Nothobranchius furzeri: one gene and its partners. The protein of the gene in region 1 interacts with the protein of each later gene in a biochemical or structural test. Links are inferred from orthologs where the notes say so. Each region holds a gene or a part of one and is shown on either strand. Other genes may lie near its edges.

Region 1 (5,073 bases):
CACTTACTGTAGGTAGCTGTGTGAACAGCCTCAGTTTGGGGGAATCTGGCTAAACTCACGAGCTAACAGTGAGGTCACGATGACCTCAGAGCTAACGTGTCATTTTAAAATGATTCTAATCACTAGAGCGTTTTCATGGTTCAGAGCATGACTCCACACTGGGTCCTTCTCATGTTACACAATTGTTCTGGACCATTAATATTGTTATTATTATTATTATGAAATGTTACAGATCTTCTAATTTAGGATGAAAAGAACTTTAAAGATTTTATTGAAATGTTGTTTGCATGAATGTATTTTTAAAGAGACAAGCAGGTTAAAATGCACACTTGTGTTATGCTGACTTCCAGATTCTGCGTTTTATCTGATCTGCCACAAATCTGTCTTTGATGAAAGTTGCCACGACCGTCTCAGAGTGTTAACGCTAGGCCATGCAACCCACTGAGAGTCATCTAGAACCTTACCCTGAGACCTTCAGGAACCTCTCTTGCTGGCACCATCAGCAACAGTTGCAGACCAGATGCCAACATCTGTTTTAACTTTAGCAGCCAAACTGCAGCCATGACAACAATGAAATAAAACACTGGAGCACCCCGGTCCTGACTCACCTCTGAAAATACTTTTGTAACGCTAAAAAGGCAGGACCCCCCCCCCCCCCCCACCATGACGAAACTAGAGAACGTTTTGTCATTTTTCCTGTTATCGTCATGTGATATCAGATTGTTTCGCCTCCTGTCTTGAATGTGTGTGTGTGTGTGTGTGCAAGTGTGAGTGTGTGTGTGAGTGTGCAAGTGTGTGTGTGTGTGTGTGTGTGTGTGTGCGAATGTGAGTGTGTGTGTGTGTGCGAGTGTGAGTGTGTGTGTGTGTGTGTGGGTGTGGGTGGTGGTTGTGTGAGTGTGTGTGTGTGTGTGTGTGTGTGTGTGTGTGTGTGCGAGTGTGAGTGTGTGAGTGTGAGTGTGCGTGCATGCGTGTGTGTGTGTGGGGGGGGGACTGGAGGGAGAGTCTGACTCACTTTCACATTGGAGAGCTGGGGAGGAGGGAGAGACAGCATGAGTGCAGACAGGAGCAGAGACGCTGGAGAGCAGTTTTCCCCTTTTTATCCAACAGCAGCTTCTAGAAGGTCACGTGGGTAACATGCATCCTTTTATGTGTTTTTGGAACGTCTCTTAAAAAGATTACCGTGAAAGCAGCGAGATCTTCAAGTGGACTTTAATCATAGTTGGTTCCTTTTACTTTGAACTGCAGCATCTCAGCCAATTTTTCATCCCAAGAAAATCCTCAGTCAGTTCCCTCTCCAAAAACTGTCAGATGCTAATAAAGAAGCATCTCTGCTCCCTTGGCTCAGGTGCTGGCATGCAGGGAGGAGGGGGGAGTAGAATGGGAGAAAATGTAGGAGGAGGGAGTGGTGAGGGATCCCATCAGATTAGCAGGGTGTTTCAATGTTTTCACAAGGGTAGACTCAAGCAGGTGCCTCGCTGCTCCCTCTCCTCTCCTCACCTCCTCAAACTAAACACACTTCCAGCCTTTGTGCGAGCAGCCTTCTCCCTTACGGAAAGAATTTGCTTTCATCACAAAAAGGCAAACAGCGACTGTGGGAATCAACGCGCGCAGCAGCAACAACAGGAAATTCGTGATGTTTCCTCTTTAGAGCGGGATTGTCACGTTTCAGAGCTGATTATGATAACTTCTTTCAACTTCACCGCGTTTGCAAAGCTTCTTCCTAATAGGGGAAAGACACGGAGGGGCTGGAGATCAGCGCGCAGCCGGAGCGCGTCTCCGAGACGCGCACTTCAACAGCTGCCAGAAGTTTGGCAACGTTCTTAGACAAACGTAAAACTATCACCTTGATTTTCTCTCAACACTTCGTTTGCAGCAGTTATACAATAAAGCATCACTCCAGCTGCACCTTTTAGTTCAAACGTCAAACTTAAAGCTCTGACTCACCTTGACGACGTTGTCGTTTATGTGCTTGGGGTCCCGGTTGACCAGGTCTATCTCCTTGGTGTGGACATCCTCCATGGCCTTTTCGTTCATACTGTCGTTGTCCATGTCTTTGTTGTTCGGTTTGTAAATGTTTCCTTGTTTTCTGATGAAGGGTGAATGCGGAAACTCCTGTAAGGATTCACGTAGAGGAGGAGGAGGAGGGAAAGAAAGACAGAAAAAGAGAAGCGTGAGGAGGAGGAAGAAGGGTGCGCAGCGCGCTGAGAGGGAACGAAGGACTGGAGCAGCCAGCCACACAAACTGGGATGGGTTTAAATGAACGCAAAGTGAAGCACCACACCCCTGCGTTCAGCCGCAAGGGGTCCTCACCACGCAGGCTGCTGCTCCACATCCTGACCCACCTCACAGCGGGCTGGAATGCACCTGGGCGCACGGAAACCTCTCTTTTGGTGAATGCGTAAAAGTACGCATCCCCAAAAATCTATTAAACCAAATATCTTTAAATTAATTCATGTCATAAACTGCAACGAGTCCTCTCCTCTCGATAGGACCTGTGCGACACGTGATTATTAATAAATGGTGCCAAAACATGCAGGTTTTCCGTGTTTACTACATTAAACCCGAATGCGTAAAAGTGCGTCAATCTGCCACTTTCTCGTTTTTTACGCAAATATATGTGTTTTCGTTCACTTTCGCCAACGTTATGGGTAATATAAATAAAAAGGGGTTCTTGCTGACAAATAGACTGGTCTTAAGAGTGTTCGCATCACGCAAACGTTCTTAAAGAAAACTCCAAAGTCCTGGAGAGGCGACAAGCTCCAGGTGTGAGGGATAGAAACATGAAATTCCCCCTCGTGGGTCCAATAAATCCTACAGAGATGTATTACCTCCTTAATGAAAAAATATCAAAGCTCAAAACTCTGAGACAAACTACAGCTGAGAGTCATACTGTACCTCTTCTGTTTCGTCCTTCAGTTCTCCTGTCATTCTGTCCGCGACTGGAGGAATCCTCGTTCAACCAGATGCGACAGGAGAGGAAACCGAGTGGGAGGCGTGGAGGCACACTCCCAGCTCCGCGCTTTCTGTCAGGGACCTGCCTCCAGCATGCCCGAAGGGAAACCCGCTTTTCAGGGGACTCCTGTATTCACAAGCGCTGCAGCGTGTCCGCGCTGGAGGAGACTCTCACACGGACTGAAGGGCTTCTGAAATAAATTGGCACAGAGCAACTGCGTTTGGGGATCAAGGCAGAGGATAGCATGGCTTATTTGTTGGGTGAAATGTGGGCGTTAATAGGGAATGACAAGGTGTGGATACCTGCAGCTCGCAGGGAGAAAGAGCCAGATGGAGAACACCTATGGATCGTTTGTAAAATCATACACCGATCATATTGTAAAAAATACAAATTCACAATAAAAACCAAAGCTATCCAGGATTTAGATGGTTTTAAACAAAGTTATTTGCTAACGTTTGCATTTAGACTGCGGTCCACAGAAATGTGAAGAGGTCTCTCCATGTTAATCTATGTTATATCTGAAGTGGTTCTCGGCACATTCAGATATGATCCATAGTCAAACCGTCTCATAGAATCCCATCACCAAAGCAATTCTGAGACCTTAGGAGCGTTCTTCACCCGCTCTTATTTTGGTAGGCTGCTTTGTTTTTACACAGGTCTGATATTGTAAGTTGGCTGATTATTGAGTTAGATTTCAGTCATTTTCATCAATTTCTTGTTGTCTATATTCATCCAAAAATGTATTTTTCATTTAATGTGTGTGTGTGTGTGTTGCTTTATAATTGGGTTCATTTAAAATGTTTCACTTAATGTTTTAAATACAGTAACACAAAAATGTACAATACATGTTTTGCCTCATTCAGTTCATAATAATAAAAATAGTCATGATGGTAAATTGCCTGCATTTGTGCTGGGATCTTCTCTCCAGCCTTCTAGACTCCTGAAACCCCCCAAGGTGCTTTATAACACAATCAGTCGTTTAGCCCAACCCCCCCCCCCCCCACACACACACACATATTCACCCATTGGTGATGATGAGCTACACTGTAGCCACAGCTGTCCTGAGGTGGACTGATGGAGGCAAGGTTGCCGAGCACAGGCGCCACCGGCCCCTATGACTACCAGCAGCAATCCACTCTCCCTCCTGAGCTGCTGCTGCCCATGATAAATAAATAAAACTACTTTATAATAATCACATTTTTATTCGTAGAGTTACATGTAATTGTAGCCTTTCATGATAAAAGCACGCCGAGGAGAATCCCTACCTAACATCTTTGTTGGTATAATGATCTGAGGTTGTTGATGTTGGGGTTCTCCCTGCATGTTGTAAACCTAAAACTAACCAGATTTTCCCACAAAACCAATCAAGTTTAGTATTCACTGTTGGTCAGAAATATCCCGGAGAAGCCCCCGTTTTATGTTTTGACTTTCCTCTTTAGGCCCCAGATGAATGCAGATCTAGTTGTATTTAACAACAAAGTTATGTTACAACACCTAAACAAACCAGAACAAACAAAGTAGCTACAGTTATAGATCTGATTTAGGTGTGCTTTAAATCCACACCTTCCCAGGTGCAGCCTGTCCACGCAGCCCAGCTGATCTAGAACGTTACAGTACCACCGCTTGGCCGTTGAGGATGGATTGTTTTGTTGTTGGAAATCTTCTGCAGAAAGCTCAAGTTCTTCATTTCCACCAGGATCCTTTTCTCTTTTATTGTGAAGAACCCCTCTGTGATGTCTCCTCTGGACAGTTGCATAAATAAATAACCCCCACCTACTTCCAAAGGTGCGGCCTTGAGCGCAGATCAAAACAGAGCAGATGTGCACCTGTTTCACATAAAGATGTTATCCTGCTGCAGCCTGGAACAGTTTCACACTGAGACAACAACACCAAGAGCTGAAGACAAGCAGCAAAGTGTTTGCATGTGAATCCTCCCGAGGCATCATCTGTGGGAAACCAGTTACCGTAATGACAAGGCACGCTGGTGTCACTCAGAACACTGACAGAACCGGTTCTGATTCAGCTGATTCTGCTCAGGTTGTAAAGGTAAACCTCTGTGATTGTGAGGAATAGCTCTTTGCTGAAGGTCATTTGTGCTAAATTGCCTGTGACTCTAACCG
Region 2 (5,127 bases), on another chromosome or scaffold:
TTTCTTTCAAGTCATATTTGTGCTGGTGTAAGGCTAAGTCTGATGTTTGTTCTCTGAGTTGCTCTGCATCACATGCACATCAGAGGTCATCAGCCTGAACATCTGTCTGTTGCATCTGGACAAAAGACTAAAGCCTCATTTACACCAAGTGTGGAACAGATGCAGATCAGAACTAGAGGTCGACTAATATTAGCTCATCTATTGCCAATAGCGATGCCTATATGTAAAGGTCGTGGTCAGCCGATGGCCGATGTGCTGATGATTTTCATGGCTGATATCTGGGCATTTCCACCTTACTTTCATGCTGAAATGGCACTAAAACATCAGTTGATGCACAACATTTCTGAAACCAATTCAGGTTTTGAACACTGAATTTAACTAACTGGTAAATCTTAATTTATGCACTGCTCAGAGTGAAAATCAGACATCTAACTGAAGTTAATCAAACAAATCAGTCAACTGACCAAGTATTAAATGTTCAAAACTGGTATATAAAAACAAATTTTAGCTGAAAATAAGAGCATTTTTTACACAGATGTTCTTCAGGAACGTAAATATACATTTAAATTAAATTCTGCAGCAGCACTGGGTTTCCCGGGAATGTGCCTGACTTTAAATCCACTTTACTAAGGAGGTATATCAGCCTATATCTAAAAAATAGTAAATGTCAGCCACTTCCTGTACGGCTCATGTCATTTTGTCAACTTCATCCACATGCGGCATTCGGAAAAAAAGAGAAACCACATGGAAAAACTCTGCAGCTCCGAATCCAGATTTGCCCCGCAGCAAGCTGGTGCAAATGCTTTGACTGGACTCAATGATTTTTGGTCTTTGCAGAAGCAGCAAAGACTCTGATTCTTGTGCGTTCTGCACTCTGTGTAAATGAAGTTTAACACAAGCAGAGTTTTGGCTGGGGGATTTGGTTGGGCTGCAGATTTTGTGATGATGCTTTATAGGATGTTTTTCTTTCTAAAAACCACATTACCAATAGTTCTGTTTAAAATGAACTCAAACGTTGCATTCTAGTCACAGCTCTATCGTGTCTAACTTTATTGGACTTAGCCACAAGCGTAAAGGCTGTGAACAAAATACTTACCATAAATGAAGAATTTTCTTACCTACATTTGTAATGCCTCTTTTTTTTCTTTTAATGGAGGTTCATGTTGCTTACACCTCTTCTGCTTAATTTTGTGACATTTTATAAATCTCTTGCCTTTTCTATCTTAACATGTTTCTTTTTTTTTAAATCTATGAAGTAAGGCCTCTTTAGTGAATCCTCTGAATAAGTGAGTGAACTAAGCCCTAATCTGAGATTGTTGGTGTGACTGATTGGTTGGAATAACATCATATTCTTGATTTAACGTTTTATTTTTGTTGTTTTTAGTGCAGTAATCACTGTTATCTCTTACCGTACTGAGAGAGTGAAGTCTCCTGGATTACTTTTACTTGGTCTGGCCAAAAAGCTGCCATCCACTCCTCGAGTCAGAAGGAGGTTTTCGGCTTCCACGCCTGTGATGTTGGGATGAAACCATCTAAGAAAGGAAAAGGAACAGAATGATGCTAATTACCACTGTGGCCAAAAACCTTTGTCTCAAAACCAATCAGTTGGGGTTTAATCCGTTGTCCAAATGCATCATTTTACAAAAAAATGTCTCCTACATCTCCCTAATGAAATTTTAACACATTCCTTCAAATTAAACATAATTTAGGGTCACTGTTTAAAACATTACAACCTCTTCCAGATGTAAAACAAAAAAAACTTTTAAAAGAACCATGAAAATCTGACAGAGTAGAGCCATTTAACTCAGCATTTTTCCTGTCTGATTAAACATCAGATGCATCAGATACACATCTGGTACAAGAGTCCAATCATGTGATCTGCAGAACCAACAACAGCACGACTTCTGCATCAATAACCCCAAAAGGTTAGAGTGCTTTGTTCTGCAGCAGAAAGACACACTATCTAGGACTTTAACAACATTTTAGTCTTGTGTTGTATATTGTAACTAGAATCCTAAATATGTTTCTGACAATACCACTACTAGTAATAGCACAACATGACTTTTCAGTTTTCAGTCAATTCTAAAGCAAAAGAGTAACATAACCAGCTCTAAACATAATAAAGCTCTGGGGTTTGACTTTGGGAATCATTTAACTGATCACAGTATTTTCCATTCCCCTTTCAGACCCAAGATAAATGTGTGCTGTATTATCTTACAGCCCTGATTTCAATACAGATTTAATTTCTGTTTTCTGATCCATGCTGTAACCACAGGGCAGTGATAAAAGTTTTCATCCTATGCAGAGCATCTCCTGTTTACATTCCCACACTGACTATATAGACGTGTGTGTGTGTGTGTGTGTGTGTGTGTGTGTGTGTGTGTGTGTGTGTGTGTGTGTGTGTGTGTGTGTGTGAAAAATAATCTGCAGAATGTTTGAAATATTGATCCCCTTGTATTCACTCTGATACAAAACATGAAAAACCTACACTGGTTTCCTATCCTGGATTATTTCATTTTTTTAAAGAAATTCCTGTAAATCACTATCTTTTCTCCTACGTGTATCCTTTTGCTTCTCTTGAATCGGGTTCCCACTTTCCCCCACAAACAAGAATCCAAATCAGAGCTGTGTAAATAATACGGGATCGACCGTGGTGTAACGCTATCTTTGGTTGTCAGACAGAAGCATAGCACAACTAAGCTAACTATTGTGACTATTCTTTAAAAAAACTCTTAAGTTTGCTCAGTAGCTAATTTATGCGTTGCTCGTTTGAAACGGGCGCATATGATACACAAGCAGATGAGATGTGAAGTTTAAAATAACTGTGTAAAAGTATTGTTTTCTCAACTGGCTCCAAGTTGCCGGTGTAACGCTAAACACATTTATTCTAAGCTAGCCGTTTCGCAGCCTTCGGTTCTCTCAGAAGCCTCGATTCCCCACGTACAGAGCTACAGACAGCTGAGCGGAGTCAAACTTAGCCGGCTCGGCTAACATTTTGTCACCAGACATTGTTTTCCAGACAGCCCTCTCACCTCCGAGATGTCATTTTTTCCCTTCCTCACTTCCTCGCTGGCACTTCTTGGTAGCCTCAACAAGCTGGCTAACGCTTCCCACCGTTTCTGCTTTAGCTATCTGATGAAGTGCTTCATCGATTAACACCCGGTCAGGACGGGCGCAGGAAACGAGTTAGGCATCCACGAAAGACATGGGTAGCGCCCGCTACTAAAAAGTCTCTAGGCCTCGGCCCTGGAGACTTCAGAACAAGTCGACTACTGTACGTCACCAAACATGCGACAAAATCATCGGACAAAATAGAGGGCGCTTGGATTTACACCCCCACGCGGCCGTTTACGTTGCCGCACGCGCACCTCGGAATGCAGCAAGCTTCTGGAGTGTCTCCGCCTGAGCACAACCCTAACCGGCGAAATGTGAGATATAAAATGAAGATCCCAATCACTTTCATCCTACGCATGCTCATTAAACCCTTCAAGTGGCAGAAGCGACAAGCGTGCAATGATAAACAAAGGTAGACTTTATGTTTGCGATTATAAATATCTGTGAAATGTCATTTTTACACCGTTTTCTTTTTTTGTAAAATGACATCTTATTAAAATTATACTTAAAGAAATATTATGCTTGTATAAGTTTCCAGTGCCAGAAATGCTTGCTTATAAATACTGAACTACTACAGGTGGTTATCGTCATCATCATCATCATTATCATCATCATCATCATTATCATCATCATCATCATCATCATCATCATTATCATCATCATCACCACCACCACCACCATTATCACCATCCATTATCCAGTATCCCTGCAGTTTGCCTACAGAGCCTACAGGTCTGTAGATGATGCCATCAACATGGCTCTACACTTCATCCTGCAGCATCTGGACTCCCCGGGTACCTACACCAGGATCCTGTTTGTGGACTTCAGCTCTGCCTTCAACACAATCCTCCCAGACCTCCTCCAAGACAAACTGTCCCAGATGAACATGCCTGACCCTATCTGCAGGTGGATCACTCACTTCCTGATGGACAGGAAGCAGCAAGTGAGTTTGGGGAAGAATGTCTCGGGCCTGCGGACCATCAGCACCGATTCCCCTCAGTGTTGTGTTCTCTCCCCTCTGCTCTTCTCTCCATACACCAACGGCTGCACCTCCAACCACGAGTCTGTTTGCAGATGATTCCACTGTCATCAATGAACTGAACTGTATTAAAATGTTTACTTTGTGAATTACCTTGAGACAATTCTTGTCAGGATTTGGTGCTACATATCCATCCATCAATCCATTTTCATCAGCTTATCCAGAGTCGGGTCGCGGGGGCAGTAGCCTAAGGCGAGAGACCCAGACTTCCCTCTCCCCAGCCACTTGAGACAGCTCCTCTGGGGGAATCCCAAGGCATTCCCTGGCCAGGTGAGAGACATAGTCCCTCCACCGTGTCCTGGGTCTACCTTTAGGTCTCCTCCCGGTTGGACGTGCCCAGAAAACCTCACCAGGGAGGCGTCCAGGAGGCATCCTGACCAGATGCCCAAACCACCTCAACTGGCTCCTCTCGATGTGGAGGAGTAACGGGTCTACTCCGAGCCCCTCCCGAATGACCGAGCTTCTCACCCTATCTCTAATGGAGAGCCCAGCCAATCTTTGGAGAAAACTCATTTCGGCCACTTTCGGTCACTACCCAAAGCTCATGACCATAGGTGAGGGTAGGAACGTAGATATCATGGTCTGAGTCTGCGTCTCCCCTCATGTTTCTCCTTATGTTCTCCATCCCTCTCTAGGTTCTCCTTTTGTGCCTCCTAGCGCCCTCATGTGTCCTTGTCTGTGTCTTCCTCTTGTGTCTCCTGGGTTTCCCCATTTGCCCCCAGATCTTCAGCCCTCTAGGTTTCCCTCCACAGGCTTTCCCTACAAGGTCCTGTGCTCCCTTGGCCCCATTTTAGTCACGCCCCTGTAGTTTTTCTTTCTGTAGTGTCTTCCTCTAGTTTCAGCTTCCCCCCTAGAATATTAGTTATGTTTGCTGCCCTTCAGGTCTTTAGGTTTTATTCTTAGATCATTTTCCTTAGTTACAGCTGTTCATGTTATTAGTCTCTCTAGTGTGTTTTTTCCCATCGGTGTTTGAG
Region 3 (5,036 bases), on another chromosome or scaffold:
GTTTCTCCACCAGCAGACCAGGGTAGAGCTCCACGGCATCTACATCACCGTACATCTCCTCCAGCAAGGCAGCCATTTCTTTTTCGCCTGATGAAAACGAACAGAACGGTTTTAAGACTTAGTTTAGGTTCTAAATAAGTCCAACATCAATGTGAAACATGTCTTCTCTCTGTGCGGCTGGCTTCTGTTTACCTCCCTAGAGACACAAACTGTTTCTTTGCTAATAAAGTTAGTTTTCATCTACTATAAATTCTCCTGCTGTGAGTTTTATGCCGTCTGCTGTGAAGCAGCAAGCCTCAGTGTGTTTACATCTTGCTCTTTGTGATGACATTCTGTTTATGCTACATCAAGATTAAATGGACGTCTGGCTTTTAGAGTCATGGAAATAAATACCTAACCTCCAAAGCTGCAAGGGTATGAGTGCAGATCACTTCCTTAATAATGAGTAAACTGTGGCGTGAGCTGCGTTCAGCGGACGGACGTGAAGCAATGGTATGAAACCAAAGTACCCGAAATTCTTCACAATTCTCTTACGTCACATTTTCCGAATACAACTGAAAAGTTTTGTAATGAGTTGATCTCACCTGTCAGGTCTTCAAAGGAGCTGTAAGGCTTCATGGAGAATCGCTTCCTGTAGGCGTTGAGGGACTGGTAACGCATCTGCCTGCTTTGCTCAATGGACTTCATGGCCACATACAGGATGGGTCCCGGCACATTACGGCCACCAGCAACCTGTCAGATAAAATTCACATTAATCCCGGAGGTTTTAAAACCGTAGAGGGGCCACAGCCTCAATGTTGCTGCAACAGCTCTTACCCGTCCTGCAATCTGATTGGTGAATGACTCCACCAGGCTGCTGATGCCGTGCTCAGTCATCACAGAGGTGTTAAAGATAAACTCTTTGTAGCTGTAATCTCTCTTCTCCACCTGGAAGCTGTCCGGCATCAGTGGGTGCCAGTGGTATAGCATGTTGAATTCAGATGCGATGCGGTTTTGGTACTGGAAGCGCTGGTTAAAGAGCAGCTCTGGGTCAAACTTGAGTTTGAAGTGGTACCCACTCAGGTGCTGCACGTAGTCCTCAATCACAATCTTAATGGTCTCACCTGACGGATAATAAAAAAAAAAGGTTGATATATCTAATTTGCATGTTTTAAAAGGTTTTGAGAGCAGAGTTAAAAATAAAAGTAAACAAAAATGCTTCCTTATTAAGATGCTGAACAGAAACTGTAAAACCAGTTTCTGCTTCTCTGAATTTGCAACAATGCATCAATGATTGCCAAAACGAAGAGCGCAGCTTCCTCAATTCAAAACCTTTGCTTCATGCAACCTTCTCATTATTTGACTTTTCCAGCAACAAAATAGGAAGTCCTTTATATTCCTCTTTGCGGGAACTCCTTGAAACTCACCAATAAGGATGAGTCGGGAGGTCTGGAAGAGTCTTTCGTCATCCCAGTCTGGGTGGACTTCCTTCAGGACGTCACAAACCCGGTTGTGTTCACGGAGCCAGATGGTGGCGTACATCATGAGTCCAGGGACCAGACCGAAGGCCTCATGGCCGACGGCCAGGCGCTGAGAGTCTGGGACATGAGGGGGGTAGTGCATTTCAACACCCACATCCTTGACTGTTGGAGGGTACACCTCTCCGTTTATTACCTGTGGAGATACAACAGGAACAAACTGTGAGACACGGATGAAAGTGGGACACATTTAACCACCAGAAGTGCACCTGTCTGTCACCTTTCCTACCTGATATTTAAGCTTGCCGTCCTTGAAGAGCCTGAGCTTGTGCTGCTTCTCCAGGTCAACACCGTAGACGTGACTCAGGTCCACCTGAAAACACAGAGACACAACATTGAGCCAAAGATTTCAACTGAAGGTTTGCTCTTTTTGTTTGTCCGATACATAATCTGCTGTACTCACCCCGTGACCTTTAGACACGGTGAAAGCCGGTCCGTTCTTCATATCAGATTTAAAGAACTGGTGCGTGAAGTGTTGTGCAAAGAAGGCAAACATCAAGCTGGTACCCTGTGGGTCTGGAATGAACTTTCTCCTCACCAGGAGCTTCTCAGCTAAAACCTTCACATCCGGCAGCTCTTTTTTACCTGGAAGCAAAAAAAAAAAAAAAAAATGAAGCAGAACAATGAGCTTTAAACATGACACCACACAGACGGAGGACAGTTCCTGTGTAAAACTCCCAAAATGTTGTTTTGTTGTTATCTATTTTGGTCACCATGGCAGATTTTTGGTGTTCCTTCCTGTGTGAAGGACAACAAAAAGAAAACACCAACTCTGTTTTCTTCCAGGTGATGTAATGGGACCAAGACGTTATTGCGCAGTATTTAAGAATCTAAGAAAACTGGTTCTGCTGAGGCAAACAGTGTCCTCACCTACGACTCCCATAGGGGTTGGGCAATCCTGCGGCACAGGTGGGAGGGCACGTGTGTAGTAGGACAGGTTGGAGTAGGCTTCCCAACTTTTATAACCATAATGAGCATTGTAAGTGGGAGGGCTGTCAATCATGTGGGATCGAGCTGGGATTAAGAAAAAAAGACAATATTATTGATATACACTGAAACAAGAGCAAGACTTCATGTGAGCTGAGGGAACTTACACGTCAGCACATATCTCATGATGGCATCTCTGAGAAAGGAAATGCTGTTGATGATGTTCCAGAAAGCCTTGAAGTGGGTGAGAATGTGGTGAACGGTGTTAGGCGATGGCTTCAGGGAGACTTTTATCCTGGTGAGGAATTCAGCTGTGGAGAACGAGTGGAGGATGAGTGAACAAGTCTGGACAAGAGGCAGCTTTTAGTTTTACATTCATTTCATGCCTGATCTTGGTTTTACTTACGCGTTGTGCAGTTTTGGCCATAATATCCAGTACGTGTGCAGTCACATTCATATCTGTCTGCTCCCATTGCTGTGCACACACCTCTGTTCTGGCATGGCTCTGAGCAGCAGGGGTTACCTGTTAACACAGTTAAACTTTTACTAAGAAATCAATGCAGTGTTCGTTTAACCAGGGTGGTTTATTGCTGCTAAGTATTTAATTTCATCCTTAGAATTAAACCGACACAACACTCTTAAGTTTCTCTAACTAAGATACATTTTTTAATTCTGAGGGAAAACTCCAATTGTTGACTTACCTCCTTCGCAGACAAAGCACAGAGCCAACAGGGACAACGCAAATGTGAGTCTGTTCATACTCCAAAAGCTCCGGCGCATTATTTTTGTTCTAAATCCTTTCTCTCCTCTCTCTGATAATCGTCAATGTGTGAGCTCTCAGACATGCGCTTCTCTATATATCAGGAGCTAGTGACGTAATAGCCACGCCCCTTAAAATAAAGAATGAAGAAATTCTCTGAAAATTAAAAGATTTTATTATTTATTTAAAGACTCTGCTCCTTGGGAATTTCTTCGTCCTCTGATTGATTTTGGCTCCTCGGTCAGTGAGAGCTGTTGCTTCACCAGGTTTCCATTTTTTCCAGGTTTCTCACCTGTTGATCCAATGTGTTACAACACCTGGCATCAGAACATCCATCTCCTCCTGGATCCCAAAAGTGGACTCTAACCCTGCCTGATAAACCATTTTCAGCTTTCCATCACTTTTCTGGGTTTCTTGTTAAGGTAGGACGCACGTCTGCCGGAAGATATGTAAGAGAGTGAAAATACGGAAAACAGCAAATAAAAAATTTGTTTATTTGAAATAGGAAAACTAGTTAACTGAGAAATGGAAAAAAATAAGACAGGGCGTTCTGTGGTGATTACACATTTTGTTATTTGTATTTACTCATGTTTTCTAAAAGTCCCTTGTCTAATTATCATATTTTATCAAAATCGTTTAATTGCCTTAATTGAATAGTTTTTAAGAAGAACAGCAGGTGGAAAGTGAAATATAAAAATGCATTTACAATAATAAAGACTGCTCTTCTAAAAGTCTCAAAGAACTTTTAAACATGTATGGAATAAAAACTATAATTAGAATAAAAATCTGCAGCAGGTCTGCTCTACATTATATATTTGAAATAAAGTTATCGTCAATGAATCATCCTTATTAGTAATAATATTAAAAGGGAGAAAAAGTTAGTCAGTGCCCCCGCGTGGAGGAAGTTGCGCAGTGGAGCGCAGTGTGGAGCAGTTTGACGCACGTCAGCCGCAGTTTTGTCTGCCGAGTCAAACTTTTGACCCTTCTTTGGGATTTCCTTTCCACGACGATTTTCCTGCAACGTGATTGTTCTTTATTTGACTTTTGAATCATTTTGTCAGTTTGCCCACCTTTCTCCACTTTGGTGTGATCGCGAATCTTCCTGCCTGACCGACTGCCGGGTGTGAGTGCCGAGAAGCGCCTCCTTATTTTTCTATTTCTACCAACATGGCACATTTAACAGGATTCATTAGTTAGTAACGTCGTCCCGCTGAGGTATGTTGCGCTTCCTTCTGTTTACACATAAATGCTGGTGTTCATTAAAGAGAATTCATGTTTATTGTGGGGATGTGGAGTAAAGGCTGCTTTGAGCCTCTCTTCTGGCACAATAAAGTTACATTTGAACTGAAAACGCACAGCTGCATACGCGATTCAAATATTATGAATTAAGGCAGATGTGTACAGATTAAATACAGAAGGGGGAGATCGAGACTTATTAATTTTCTCACCTATTCTGATCTCTGTTTTGGATTTTTACCCTTCAAGGTTAGGGTTAGGGATGCATTAACAACATTGAAAGTTGCACATTCATTCACCTGCCAGCCCCTTTCTGTTCAGATAATAAGAATCAGGCAGAACCAGTTGGTGATGTCCTTTGACTTGTTTCCAACTTTAAATGCTTTAAATGCTCTTAAGAATGCACATGCAGCCAATCCTGTTGTCTTAAACTCTAAGGTGGAAGTGATGCTGCACGAGGAAGCATTATGTGTGTCTATTAAAAGGTGCATTCACTGCAGCTGTTTTGCATCATGCAATGTTGCTATTGGCCCTTCTCACACATATGCAGCCTCATATGAAAATTTAGTGCTGGGAGGTCTGAGTTATTTTGGCTC

Evidence for each region. The genes of interacting proteins can lie anywhere in the genome.
Region 2: the proteins of cav1 (region 1) and ptpn11a form a complex in vitro, tested with the Homo sapiens proteins (2 studies listed by BioGRID). The link is inferred for Nothobranchius furzeri from reciprocal best matches to the Homo sapiens genes CAV1 and PTPN11.
Region 3: the proteins of cav1 (region 1) and ptgs2b form a complex in vitro, tested with the Homo sapiens proteins (2 studies listed by BioGRID). The link is inferred for Nothobranchius furzeri from reciprocal best matches to the Homo sapiens genes CAV1 and PTGS2.

The regions. Positions count from the first base shown.
Region 1 is NC_091744.1:52,442,351-52,447,423, reverse strand, and holds the start of cav1 (caveolin-1), read right to left. Parts: upstream 3,118-5,073; 5' UTR 2,929-3,117; coding exon 2,896-2,928; intron 2,113-2,895; coding exon 1,945-2,112; intron 1-1,944. UniProt on the Homo sapiens protein: May act as a scaffolding protein within caveolar membranes. Forms a stable heterooligomeric complex with CAV2 that targets to lipid rafts and drives caveolae formation. Mediates the recruitment of CAVIN proteins (CAVIN1/2/3/4) to the caveolae.
Region 2 is NC_091746.1:40,340,942-40,346,068, forward strand, and holds the start of ptpn11a (tyrosine-protein phosphatase non-receptor type 11), read right to left. Parts: upstream 3,281-5,127; 5' UTR 3,047-3,280; coding exon 3,033-3,046; intron 1,533-3,032; coding exon 1,410-1,532; intron 1-1,409. UniProt on the Homo sapiens protein: Acts downstream of various receptor and cytoplasmic protein tyrosine kinases to participate in the signal transduction from the cell surface to the nucleus. Positively regulates MAPK signal transduction pathway. Dephosphorylates GAB1, ARHGAP35 and EGFR.
Region 3 is NC_091748.1:67,409,831-67,414,866, forward strand, and holds the start of ptgs2b (prostaglandin G/H synthase 2), read right to left. Parts: upstream 3,281-5,036; 5' UTR 3,225-3,280; coding exon 3,146-3,224; intron 2,968-3,145; coding exon 2,851-2,967; intron 2,756-2,850; coding exon 2,612-2,755; intron 2,532-2,611; coding exon 2,388-2,531; intron 2,103-2,387; coding exon 1,921-2,102; intron 1,831-1,920; coding exon 1,747-1,830; intron 1,654-1,746; coding exon 1,407-1,653; intron 1,104-1,406; coding exon 817-1,103; intron 733-816; coding exon 585-732; intron 88-584; coding exon 1-87. UniProt on the Homo sapiens protein: Dual cyclooxygenase and peroxidase in the biosynthesis pathway of prostanoids, a class of C20 oxylipins mainly derived from arachidonate ((5Z,8Z,11Z,14Z)-eicosatetraenoate, AA, C20:4(n-6)), with a particular role in the inflammatory response.